2 linked regions of the Drosophila melanogaster genome follow. Changing the gene in region 1 together with any one later gene gives a genetic interaction. Each region holds a gene or a part of one and is shown in the gene's direction. Other genes may lie near its edges.

Region 1 (4,265 bases):
CATGAAATCTTGAGAATCAGTTTGTGAATCACACAGAAAGTGGGAATATTTCCCGCGGAAAAAGGTTTTGAAAATCAAACTAGGTGTTAGGCATACAGGCAACTCTAAATGTACCCAAAAACCGGCGGACTTTGAAAAGAAAACCCCAAGCGAATTGGCCTCCAACCATTTCGATTTCGAGCAGCCAAAACGGCTCCGCCCATGCCAAAAAAATGAGCAGCTGTTAAAAATGAAGTCAATAGCTTAGTCAATGTGGTGTGTGTGTGTGTGTGTGGTGTTCGAGTGAGTGAGAAATCCAGCCGCCCTTAGCACGCGAGTATCTTTAATAAATAAACGAATAACGAATAATATCAGGGCCATGCAAATAGCCTGATTACAGGGAACTCAAAATCGAGAGAGAGAGAGAGACTGAGCGTGAGATCTGAATGAGTGAGTGAGTGTTTTCTATTCATTCAACAACAGAGCGTTAACATTCTGCTAACATTTCGCTCGAGTGGGGTTCGAACTCAATGCGCATGTGTGCGTGCTCGATCGCTCTCTCACTCGATCCGAGTCTTAAAGGTGGTGGTTTCAGCCGTGATTTATCAGAGAGCTGGGGCTGAAAACTGGTAAGTTTGCTTTGGTGTGAGTGCGAGTACATAAGCCAAAGAGTTCGGCCAGTAGGCGAAACACAGAAACGCTTCTTGCCAGTCGAACCTCTCAGCCAGAAATCAGTCGTCAGCTAGTAGCCGAAGTGTCAGTTACACACATCGAGGATTCCCAAACCGCGTTGTTTCGGCGATCAAAAACCATACATCACATCAAATCGTATCCAAAATTATAATCAAAGTGTTGAAAACCTGAATCACTCAGACTGATCGAAAAGTGCTTGCAAACCGAAAACAAAACAAAAAAAAAAAAAATAACAGACACAAACTGCCAAAGTGAGAAAACGTGCAGCAACGATCGCGAATCGCTGCAATTAAAAAGTCGTCATAAACCTAGTGCCCATCCAACAAAAAAAAGCAAAAAGGTAAGTTCTGAGCGAGGGAGACAACATGAGATCAAAGTCAATTCACGGTTCTTGTTTTTGGGTCGCGGCCGTCGGCAAATTTTACGATCCCTTGTGCACTACTTTTATTTTTTACTGTTTCACGCGAAAAACTAACGGCCACATTTCCATCTTTTCCTTATTTTTTTGCGTCCCGAGGCAGCGGGAAAAAAATCACAATTTTCATAAGCCGAATTTTCTATTTTTTGTTTGACTCGGGAAAAATCGGCGTGAGTTTTTATGGCCGAACGTCAAGGTCTGGACTGCTGCTGCATTTTTTTAGGGAACACTATTTTCGCAGCACTCGTAATGACTTCGAATAAAAAAGAAAATCTACCTGAGTTTTATGACTGGACAGCGCGAAAAAAATGAAAATGAACGCATAGGGTTGCATAATCCGGCAGCTTAAGTTTTTTGGCCTGTTGTGATCATAAAAAACGCCCATCCTGTCTAGTTTTTCCCAGTTTCCTATATATATCCTGGCCCGCCTAGAGCTCAGCATCAGTTGCTCAGCAGCATTCCAAGCGAACAGATCATACAGCAGATCCTCACAGCGATCGTGAGAAAAGCATTCAAAATTCCAACAAATATCATTCCAAAATGGTGTTCAACTTGGTTAGTGTCCAGAGCCGTTCGCCTACTTGTGGATTACACATATACCTCTCGACCAGTGGATTAAACCCTTACTAACGCGGGATTTCTTTACAATCTTCCAGATGAACCAGACATGCAAAGTGTGCGGTGAGCCGGCGGCGGGCTTCCATTTTGGCGCCTTCACCTGCGAGGGCTGCAAGGTAAGTTGTGTCTCAAGAAATCCATTGACAAATAAATTAGCAGAACGTAACCCCCCAAGGGGTTAGTTTTAGAAATGTTCGAGGAACAGGCCATCGGCGATTCAAATCGTTGTACCATTGGCCTTAAGTTCTTGAATGAATTTCTGCTCTTCTTTTGCTAATGAGTTGCATACCACATAACTAAGCCACATTCGTCCTTCCCTTCGCCATTGCAGTCCTTCTTTGGCCGCTCTTACAACAACATCAGCACCATCAGCGAGTGCAAGAACGAGGGCAAGTGCATCATCGACAAGAAGAACCGCACCACCTGCAAGGCGTGCCGCTTGAGGAAGTGCTACAACGTGGGCATGTCGAAGGGGGGATCCCGCTACGGACGTCGCTCCAACTGGTTCAAGATCCATTGTCTGCTGCAGGAGCACGAACAGGCCGCCGCAGCGGCGGGCAAGGCGCCTCCATTAGCGGGTGGCGTATCGGTGGGTGGTGCCCCGTCGGCCTCTTCCCCGGTGGGCTCGCCACACACTCCCGGATTTGGGGACATGGCCGCCCATTTGCACCACCATCATCAGCAGCAGCAGCAGCAGCAGGTGCCGCGTCATCCACATATGCCTCTGCTGGGCTATCCCAGCTATCTGTCCGACCCATCCGCCGCCCTGCCCTTCTTCAGCATGATGGGCGGTGTACCGCACCAGTCGCCCTTCCAGCTGCCCCCACACCTCCTCTTCCCAGGCTACCATGCAAGTGCTGCCGCTGCAGCGGCTTCTGCTGCCGATGCCGCTTACCGGCAGGAGATGTACAAGCACCGCCAGAGCGTGGATTCCGTTGAGTCGCAGAACCGCTTTAGTCCCGCCAGCCAGCCACCAGTGGTGCAGCCCACCTCCTCGGCCCGCCAGTCGCCCATCGATGTCTGCCTGGAGGAGGATGTTCACTCCGTGCACAGCCATCAGTCGTCCGCAAGCCTCCTGCATCCCATTGCCATCCGAGCCACGCCAACCACTCCGACTAGCAGCAGCCCGCTGAGTTTTGCGGCCAAGATGCAGAGCTTGTCGCCCGTTTCGGTTTGCTCCATTGGCGGCGAAACCACCAGCGTTGTACCAGTGCATCCTCCCACCGTTTCCGCTCAAGAAGGACCCATGGATCTGAGCATGAAGACCTCGCGGAGCTCCGTGCACAGCTTCAACGACAGCGGCTCCGAGGATCAAGAAGTGGAGGTGGCTCCGCGCCGGAAGTTCTACCAACTGGAGGCCGAGTGCCTGACCACCAGCAGCAGCAGTTCCTCCCACTCCGCCGCCCACTCACCGAACACCACCACCGCCCATGCGGAAGTCAAGCGGCAGAAGCTAGGTGGTGCAGAGGCCACCCACTTCGGTGGCTTCGCGGTGGCCCACAATGCGGCTAGTGCCATGAGGGGAATATTCGTGTGTGTCTAAGTACACGGCGAAAAAACCAAGTGGGAGGAGTCGCCCCAAAAACCCTCGTTGTTTATTTTTTGTTACTTAAAGAAAATGTAAATTTATTCGTGTGCTCGCTCACACTTAGGGAAGTGGAAAGAGATAGGGACAGACAGGTTTTGCTGGAAAGAGACAGCCTGACCAGGTAGTTGCATTGCACTCGCACACATACACCTATATACCACCACACACACACTCACACTCACCTATTGAGCTCGGATCCAAAAATTATTTTTTATGAAAACGTTAAAATTGTAAATATATCTTTGAGCTTGTTTGCAATTGTATTTTAAAGTTAGCCGGCGGAAGAGCCGTAGAAGTAGTAATCATTCCCACCCTCAAATGCTATTGTACATACAAATTGTTAAGTCTAAGAATGATCTTTATTGTCTCTAAGTATTTTATTCTATTATAGTCCTAGTTATGGTATGTCTAAAGATTGGCATTTAGTTTTATACAAAGAAAAATAAAAACTATTAAAAATTAAACTTTTGTCGTTTCCAATGCTTTTCGGTGTATTTCAGAATACACAAATTCATATTTGAAGTTTTTGCTTATGGATAATTGAACTAACTTATTTACAATGTCGTCTTGAAGCTCATTAATTCCACGGCACGTTTACTTCGGTGTTGCTTTTATTGATTTAATTTTAGTTGTGACATCATAGAAAAGTGTATTTAATTACAAAACAAACACTTTAAGAAAATTATTTAAAAATACTCATACAACGTATTCGTTGTACCTTAAAGTTAACGAACTCTTCTGATTTGTTTAAGCACATTATTATGGACTATATGTCTGGTGCAAACTATCTTTCGGATGTATCTGCTGGATGTATCAACGAAGTTTGTCGGCTACCGCACATTCCTATAGGATCAAAGCCAATAAATTATTTACGTATTCAGCTACCGCTCTTGTTTCAAAATCAGTTCTGTTCAAACATGCGAGCATATATCCATATACATATATCTGATCGGCGGTGTCTTTGGCTCG
Region 2 (7,733 bases), on another chromosome or scaffold:
TGCTTATCAGGGCGGGCAGATTCTAAGGGAACCAATTGGTATCGGCTTTCAGAGCGGATAAACCTTGGTGCGTCGGACTTTGGCCCTTGCCTTCAACACTTTTTTTTATAAACGAATAGCAAAAACAGCGCTTTGTAAGTTGTGTAAATGAATGCCAAAGAATTTGTTTAGTTTCTATTGATGTCCCCGACCTATGCCAATGTTTCTCCGCCTAGCTAATGGGCGAAATGAAAGAGAGAGTGATTTTGAGGGGGTTGAGAATCCGATTACGCAATCGCTCTCTTGGCAGCCTAATTTTACATTTTCCCTATAGGTATACACCCCATTCTCTGTTGATAATATCTTTAATCGCTTTTTATGTTCTTATTATCAGCGTTTCGATATTCTGGCAAGTATCCAGAAATACCGAAAGCGTAACAACAACTTGTTTGGACTTCAGGTTCTGATTTGATTATAATATTTACGAAGGCCGCACAGTTGGCTAATTGGAAAAAAATATATTTACGCGCGGTTTGATTATGATAATCTATTTTAAGAATGCAATTGGGAAATTACTATCTGTACTAAGATAATATAGCCTAAGCTAGATAGCAGCCTATAGAATTATGTTATTTTCTGTGTGCTCAAAGGTGCTTTGTTATTATGTCATCACACGCTCTGGTATCGGTTAAATGCAGCAATGCTGATTTCCATGACTTCCTCGTCTGCTGTCGCTCCCCATTTGTCGTCCTACCTCATTAGCACTACATAAATGCATATATTTGTTCTTTTATCGGTTGCAGGTGAAACTACAAACTGAACATCTGGAGAGGAACAACTGACATCATCCTATTGTATTATTGTTGCGTCCATTGTTCGTTTGTTCTTGCCATTAATCAGAGCTGGGCTCTTTTGGAGGATACGCCTCACACCCACCATTTTCACTACCGATCAAAAAACACTCATTTAATTCATAGATCGGACAAGTAGAGAAAAGGCAGCAAGATGTTCATCGAAGACGATGCGCAGTAAGTAAACACATTTATTATATAAGACCTGTTTAGTTTTGAGCCCGTTTTCTGTGTATTTTTATTTCATAAGTACATCACTCAGTGTAAGCTTGTGGTTGTGGATTTTTTGGAGTTGGGAAATATAATTAATGTATTGCATTCCATTAAGAACGCTGAGTCTCAAATGTAGGGGTATTTTTTTTTAATGAGTTGACACTTAGCACATGGACTTTTCACCTCTTAACTTTAAACATTCTATTTGCGGTTTATTAAATTTCTTTTGACATAGCGCGCAACCTTTTAAGCTCATTGGCCCGGGAAATTGACGTCATGCCATTTTGCGCAAGCCAAGTTCAAGGCATTCGTTCGATTTGCTTATCAGGCCAGCACTCACACACGATGTCTTTATCAAGTGTGCAGTTTTCAACTAGGAATTATAAAAAGTGACACATATGTATGTATGTATGCCACGACCGGCATATAATATTCAATTATATAATTATATATAGATATTTGTTAAGTGCGAATCTCAGCATGACTCGTTTCCTATTAAACTAGCTTCTATCTTAGTATGGTCTTGGTATGCTACTAGTAACTGGTTTTCCATTTAGTCTGCCATCGAGCGATAATCAGTAATCAGCGTCCGAAATTCTTAGTAAAATGCTTTACAGTGTTTTAATTAATTAGGCATTGCGATAATAAGTTTATCTAGTGTTCTGGTGGCAGTCGTTCAGATTTATAATTATAAATCAAAATTTAAAAATATTTGGCATGAGGTTTTTGTCCAATTTTAATTATAAATAACGTGACAAGAACGTTTAAAATGACGGCGGTCCTAATGGAATTGCAAAGAAAGTAAGAGTTCCCGACAAATCTTTTCGTTATTTTCGGTTGTCGATAAGTACACAAATAAACTAAAGATAAGAGTTTTAAGAATAGAGCCGAATTTAGCCGTTGGAAAAATTAGGAAGTATTTCCCCAAAATTGGGTCATCATTTTATAAAGTATTTGGGCCATAAAGATTGCTTCAAAATCAATGATATATTGCAAATACCCTTGATTTTTGACACGTTTTATGAAGTACTTGGCAAGCCAACTAGATTGGTTTTAGATGGCAGATAAGATGCCGGACGTATAAAAGGGTCCAGACGAGTGCCAGACACACACACTTAAGTTTCGGTTTATTACAATGGCAGAATTCTGTGCCGCGAAAGAGTGATGATTACTAGCGGTCCGGGCTTCGGCGCGTTAGTTAGTGCTAAGCAATCTGTAGCTGATAAAAAGCCGAACACCTTCAGAGCTCTTCACCGGTTATCGGCCGTTTGAAAAGCGTTTTCTGAGCACCGAGAACCAAAGTGAGCGTGAGAGTGTCTACCCCTTTTCCGCCGTCGGACTTTTAAGACCTGCTAACTAACAGTGGCAGCAGCAGCAGGTGGTGATATCAGTTGGTTTTCGGCTTGCGACGGCGCTACAACGAGTGGGTGGGTGCAATGGGAGAATGGTTGCAGGAGTCAACCGGGCGAATACTTGACGAGGCGGGGAAAGCAATAGTTGAAATACCCCGCTGAAATTTGCATACCAATTGGCCACTAATTTGACATTTCTATTGCCCTTTCAGAATGGACAGCTTCTGGGTGCAGAGCGCTATTGGCGCGATCAAGGCGATCGCCTTTGTCTACGACATCATCACCCTTCCGGTTTACTTGGTGCTGCAGAAGCCCTGGAAACGCCGTCAGGACTCGCGTCGCGTGAAGGTGAGTGCTTTGACAGGACTTGCCACTAATCTGGCTAGTTGAAACGAATGGAAAAAGCCACAGACTTAGCCGGCCAATCGGTGCGACGAGGGGTGTAACTATCTCTAGAATCGTGTAGTTGAAATACTTTCGACTTTGCACTGCACGTTCCAAAGTACAGAGGCCTGCTACAATCGAGTTGTTTTAGTTTTTATTAAAAAAGTGCACCCTCGGTTATCAGTTTCATTAAGTTCTTTTCCGCATTTATTTCCCTTACTTCGAGCCTTGTTCTCGCCAGGTGGTTTCCTTATGTTCATTTCATTGTCTAATCTATGTAGATATGACTACTTTTGATTTATTGACCAGGTCCACCATTTCCACAATCTATTCGCCTTTATCAGGGCTTCGCTTTTTATGCGGTAATTATCATATCCGATTAACTTTCTTTCATTTTGCTTTATAACTCCGCGAATGTCAGGACTTCCAGCCATGGCTGTATTTGACAAGTGCACAGGTTGTCAGGCCATAATGAAATCGCAGTTGGTCCTGATAACAGAACCATGAAGTTAAGAAATCATAGAATATCTCTACCTTCTTTTCAAATGGAAATAATATTCACACATAGTGAGCTGTGCAAGTGAGACACCCTAGCTCTCAGCCCAGAAATAAAAAACATATTTCGAAGTGAGTGTTAGCTTATCACATTTCCTGCAAAATAAATTAGTCTTGTTAACTGAAAGCCTAAGGAATGGCGTTTAATAGCCGGGTTTTGGTGCCTGTCCTCAAGGCCGATGATGACGAAAAGGAGTTAGTTGATCCGCAAGCAGCCCTTAGGGAGAAGTGCCAGGCCAAAGGTCACATTGCGTCCCTGTACAACAAGTATCAAGAGTGCAATGATCGTGTGAATGGCAAGTCCAAAACCACTGAGACATGCATGGAGGAATTGTTCGACTTCGTCGCTGAATTGGATCATTGCGTTGCTCACAGTCTCTTCTCGAAACTCAAATAGTTTCAAATTCTAGCAATGCTAAAAAAATAAAATTGGCACTTAAATAAAGGAAACAAACTAAAACATAAATATTTCCAGCTATAACTCGTTTAGGAAAAGTCCCACCTGAGGTACACTTTTATCTGACTTTTCACTATCTAAATGGAACGCATTTTGGTTGGCCTTTTCAGTCGGCTGATAAGGTTTATGGGTTAGTAAGGGTACGCCAACGCCGGAATCTAAGATCGCTTTCATTTGTGTGCAGTTTGCATAATCTTTAGAAAAAATAAGTAAAACGAGTTGAATGCCTTAATCGGGAATCAGTAACTCTATGCAATACCACAGCTAACTAGCTTCTCATCGCATATCTCAACTCCTCCTTCCTCTACAGGCCAAGCCCATTAACCAGAAAATGTTGGTCGATGAGTCCAAGTACGCGCCGGATGACATTGAGGTTTAACTTTTGCAAATGTGTTTTTTTATTATTTAGTAATACTATCTGTTATGGAACATACACACATTACACGAACACACACACACACACACACACACATACATTGGGGCACCCCCATACAACACACAAACACCACACACGCACAATGAATGTTCCAGGTACTGGTTGGTGATCGTACCCAGAGTTGAATCCCCTTTTTGGAGACTCTTTTTGGTGTTGGTCCAAGAAACATGATCTCCCGAGTTACGGCCCTCACCTCAACAAACCCTCGAAAACTCACATGTCCGTTATCTCTCTGTCGATTCTACTTTGTGGTCCCTCCCCTAATCTAGCGTTTCTTTTTAAATCGCAACCTCTAACACGACGTTAAACTAATCGCCACGAATTCGCTCATTTTCCAGGCAAAGATCGTGCGGAATGATGACAATGAGCTGACCTACCGGACCACGGATCCACCACGGGATGTCCACGTGAAGATGCTGCAAGAGAATATCGATACCCTGGAGAAGGTATTCAACTATGTGGCCAAAACTTACACGTCGAAGCGTTGTCTGGGCACCCGGCAGATCCTCAGCGAGGAGGATGAGGTGCAGCAGAACGGTCGAGTCTTCAAGAAGTACAACCTCGGTGACTACAAGTGGAAGACGTTCACCGAGGCGGAGCGCACGGCGGCTAATTTCGGGCGCGGTCTGCGAGAACTTGGCCAGAAACCACGCGAGAACATTGTCATCTTTGCCGAAACGCGAGCCGAATGGATGATAGCTGCCCACGGATGCTTTAAGCAGGCTATGCCCATTGTCACTGTCTATGCTACGCTGGGCGATGATGGAGTTGCTCATTGTGAGTAAATTGGCTTACCATGTGTATGGTTTTTAAATAATATTTTGCTCTGTTGCCAGGCATCACCGAAACGGAAGTCACCACGGTTATCACCTCCCATGATCTGCTGCCCAAGTTTAAGACGCTGCTCGACAAATGCCCATTGGTGAAGACTATTATCTATATTGAGGATCAGCTGCAAAAGACAGAAACCACTGGCTTCAAGGAGGGCGTCAAGATCTTGCCGTTTAACCAAGTTGTCAAGACAGGACAGGACAGTAAATTTGGTACGTTTTGAAAGGGTCTTAAAAGATGATTTATTTATGTCAATTACACGATAAATTTGCTAAAATGCATCGTGTTTCACACCGAAAATGGTGTGGGCTCGACGTGTTCACCATCGGCGTTATCCTCAGGCGCCCGAGCCGTTGCCATCGATGTGGATGCAACCGGCTTCTGCGCATCATTATCATCCACAACATTGCTCATCCTTTCGAGGTTATCAATGTCATCTCTTTCGGTTGATCTGTTTTCACTATCAGAGCCTTGTGCTAATTCTGCTTCCGGCAAGTGGTTGCAATAGCGCCATCTAATCGAGACAGAATGTGTTGATGGGTCATCCAGTGTTTTAATCTACAACTCTCACCTCATGTCAGTACTGGAAAAACCGACGGGTTGCAACAGAATCGGCTTCGTTTGTTCTACATATTCGTTCACAAGACTGGAACCAGGTCCTATGATCAAATCTTCCTCCTTAGCCTCAAGGGTAACTCCTTCGGTTATCTTTTCCTCGTCTCTTTCTTGCTTAGAGGAATATGTGCGATACGCCCGAAAGATGAGAACGCCGCAGTATACGCCAAATAGTGTAAAAAATACGGAGCAGCTTCTCGGCTTTCCTGATGTTGAGCCTAGTAAAGCATTGCATTGTTGCACACAAGTCAAGGGCGTTAGGGTGATGAATTCCTCTAGGACTTCAGCCATTTCGAATGGTGTCTGAACTAAAAAATCACCCTACACAATTTGGAAAGAGTTCTTTCTGTTTACCGAAAGTATGCGCTTTTAATTCAGCACTGAAATGTTGACAGCATATGTATAGCGTGCTATGCGCAAGGAATTTGTTAAATATTAAACTAGTACTAATTGACTTTATTTTGTATCCCACAGAGCACGTTCCACCCAAGGGAGATGACATTGCCATTATCATGTACACTTCCGGATCCACTGGCACACCTAAGGGTGTCCTCCTCTCGCACAAGAACTGCATTGCGACAATGAAGGGATTTGTTGATATGGTGCCTATCTATCCGGATGATGTACTGATCGGATTCCTGCCCCTGGCTCACGTTTTTGAATTGGTTGCGGAAAGTGTGTGTCTCATGACTGGCGTTCCAATTGGCTACTCGACCCCCTTGACTCTGATCGACACTAGCAGCAAGATCAAACGCGGGTGCAAGGGCGATGCCACCGTCCTGAAGCCCACCTGCATGACTTCGGTGCCGCTGATATTGGATCGCATTTCCAAGGGTATTAACGACAAGGTTAACTCTGGCTCGGCGTTCAAGAAATCACTCTTCAAATTCCTTTACCAGTACAAAGTCAAGTGGGTGCAGAGGGGGTACAAGACGCCGCTGATTGATAAGTAAGAACGGTGTGCTCATAAATATCATGAGTTGCTAACTAAAACTATTATTTTTCTTGCAGACTGGTGTTCAAGAAGGTGGCAAAGCTAATGGGTGGCAAAGTGCGCATTATCATGTCTGGCGGAGCGCCTCTGTCAGCAGATACACATGAGCAGATCAAGACCTGCTTGTGCTTGGAGCTGATTCAGGGCTATGGCCTTACGGAAACTACGTCTGGAGCCACTGTCATGGACTGTAAGTGATCGCAGATCGACCTTTCTTTTGAAAACAAGTAAATAACTTTATACCCAATACAAGACCGTGATATGACCTATGGACGCACTGGAGGACCATTAACTGTCTGCGACATCCGTCTAGTCAACTGGGAAGAAGGCAACTACCGCGTCACAAATAAACCTTATCCCCAGGGTGAGGTTCTCATTGGTGGCGAGTGTGTCTCCCAGGGATACTACAAGTTGCCCGGCAAGACCAACGAGGATTTCTTTGAGGAGGATGGACAGAGATGGTTTAAAACCGGCGACATTGGCGAAATACAAGCTGATGGCGTACTTAAGATTATTGGTAAGTTATTTAGCACAGTGCTTTTTCTTTCATTTTTTTTATTATAATACGCTTTTTGCAGATCGTAAGAAGGATCTGGTTAAGCTGCAGGCCGGCGAGTATGTTTCCCTTGGCAAAGTTGAATCTGAGCTTAAGACTTGCGGAATCATCGAGAACATTTGCGTATACGGAGATCCGACAAAGCAGTACACAGTGGCGCTGGTCGTTCCCAACCAAAACCATTTGGAGGAGCTGGCACAGAAACATGGCCTGGGTGATAAGTCCTTTGAGGAGCTGTGCTCATCACCGATCATAGAGAAGGCTATTCTCAAGGAAATTGCTGAGCATGCGCGGAAATGTAAGCTACGATGCAGATTTGAGTATTTTTCAAAGTTTTTAATGGCAAATTGTTTAATCTTAAAGGTAAATTGCAAAAATATGAGGTTCCCGCCGCCATCACACTTTGTAAGGAGGTCTGGTCTCCGGACATGGGGCTGGTAACCGCCGCCTTCAAGCTGAAGCGCAAGGATATCCAGGACAGATATCAGCATGATATTAACCGCATGTACG

The links.
Region 2: of kni (region 1) and Acsl, changing one enhances a phenotype caused by changing the other (phenotypic enhancement), as found in Drosophila melanogaster (one study listed by BioGRID).

The regions. Positions count from the first base shown.
Region 1 is NT_037436.4:20,691,822-20,696,086, reverse strand, and holds kni (knirps), read left to right. Parts: upstream 1-1,530; 5' UTR 1,531-1,630; coding exon 1,631-1,645; intron 1,646-1,746; coding exon 1,747-1,824; intron 1,825-2,039; coding exon 2,040-3,251; 3' UTR 3,252-3,757; downstream 3,758-4,265. UniProt on the Drosophila melanogaster protein: Transcriptional repressor. Binds to multiple sites in the eve stripe 3 enhancer element. Plays an essential role in the segmentation process both by refining the expression patterns of gap genes and by establishing pair-rules stripes of gene expression.
Region 2 is NT_033778.4:8,673,865-8,681,597, forward strand, and holds the start of Acsl (Acyl-CoA synthetase long-chain), read left to right. Parts: upstream 1-1,705; 5' UTR 1,706-1,844; intron 1,845-2,212; exon of another isoform or gene 2,213-2,470; intron 2,471-2,607; coding exon of another isoform or gene 2,608-2,608; coding exon 2,609-2,743; intron 2,744-3,354; exon of another isoform or gene 3,355-3,470; coding exon of another isoform or gene 3,471-3,731; exon of another isoform or gene 3,732-3,797; intron 3,798-4,101; coding exon 4,102-4,164; intron 4,165-4,565; coding exon 4,566-5,004; intron 5,005-5,063; coding exon 5,064-5,270; intron 5,271-5,281; exon of another isoform or gene 5,282-5,346; coding exon of another isoform or gene 5,347-5,572; intron 5,573-5,629; coding exon of another isoform or gene 5,630-5,964; exon of another isoform or gene 5,965-6,089; intron 6,090-6,147; coding exon 6,148-6,622; intron 6,623-6,684; coding exon 6,685-6,857; intron 6,858-6,920; coding exon 6,921-7,184; intron 7,185-7,245; coding exon 7,246-7,521; intron 7,522-7,586; coding exon 7,587-7,733. Other genes in the region: UQCR-11L (Ubiquinol-cytochrome c reductase 11 kDa subunit-like), read left to right, coding at 3,471-3,731; CG30355 (uncharacterized protein), read right to left, coding at 5,347-5,572, 5,630-5,964.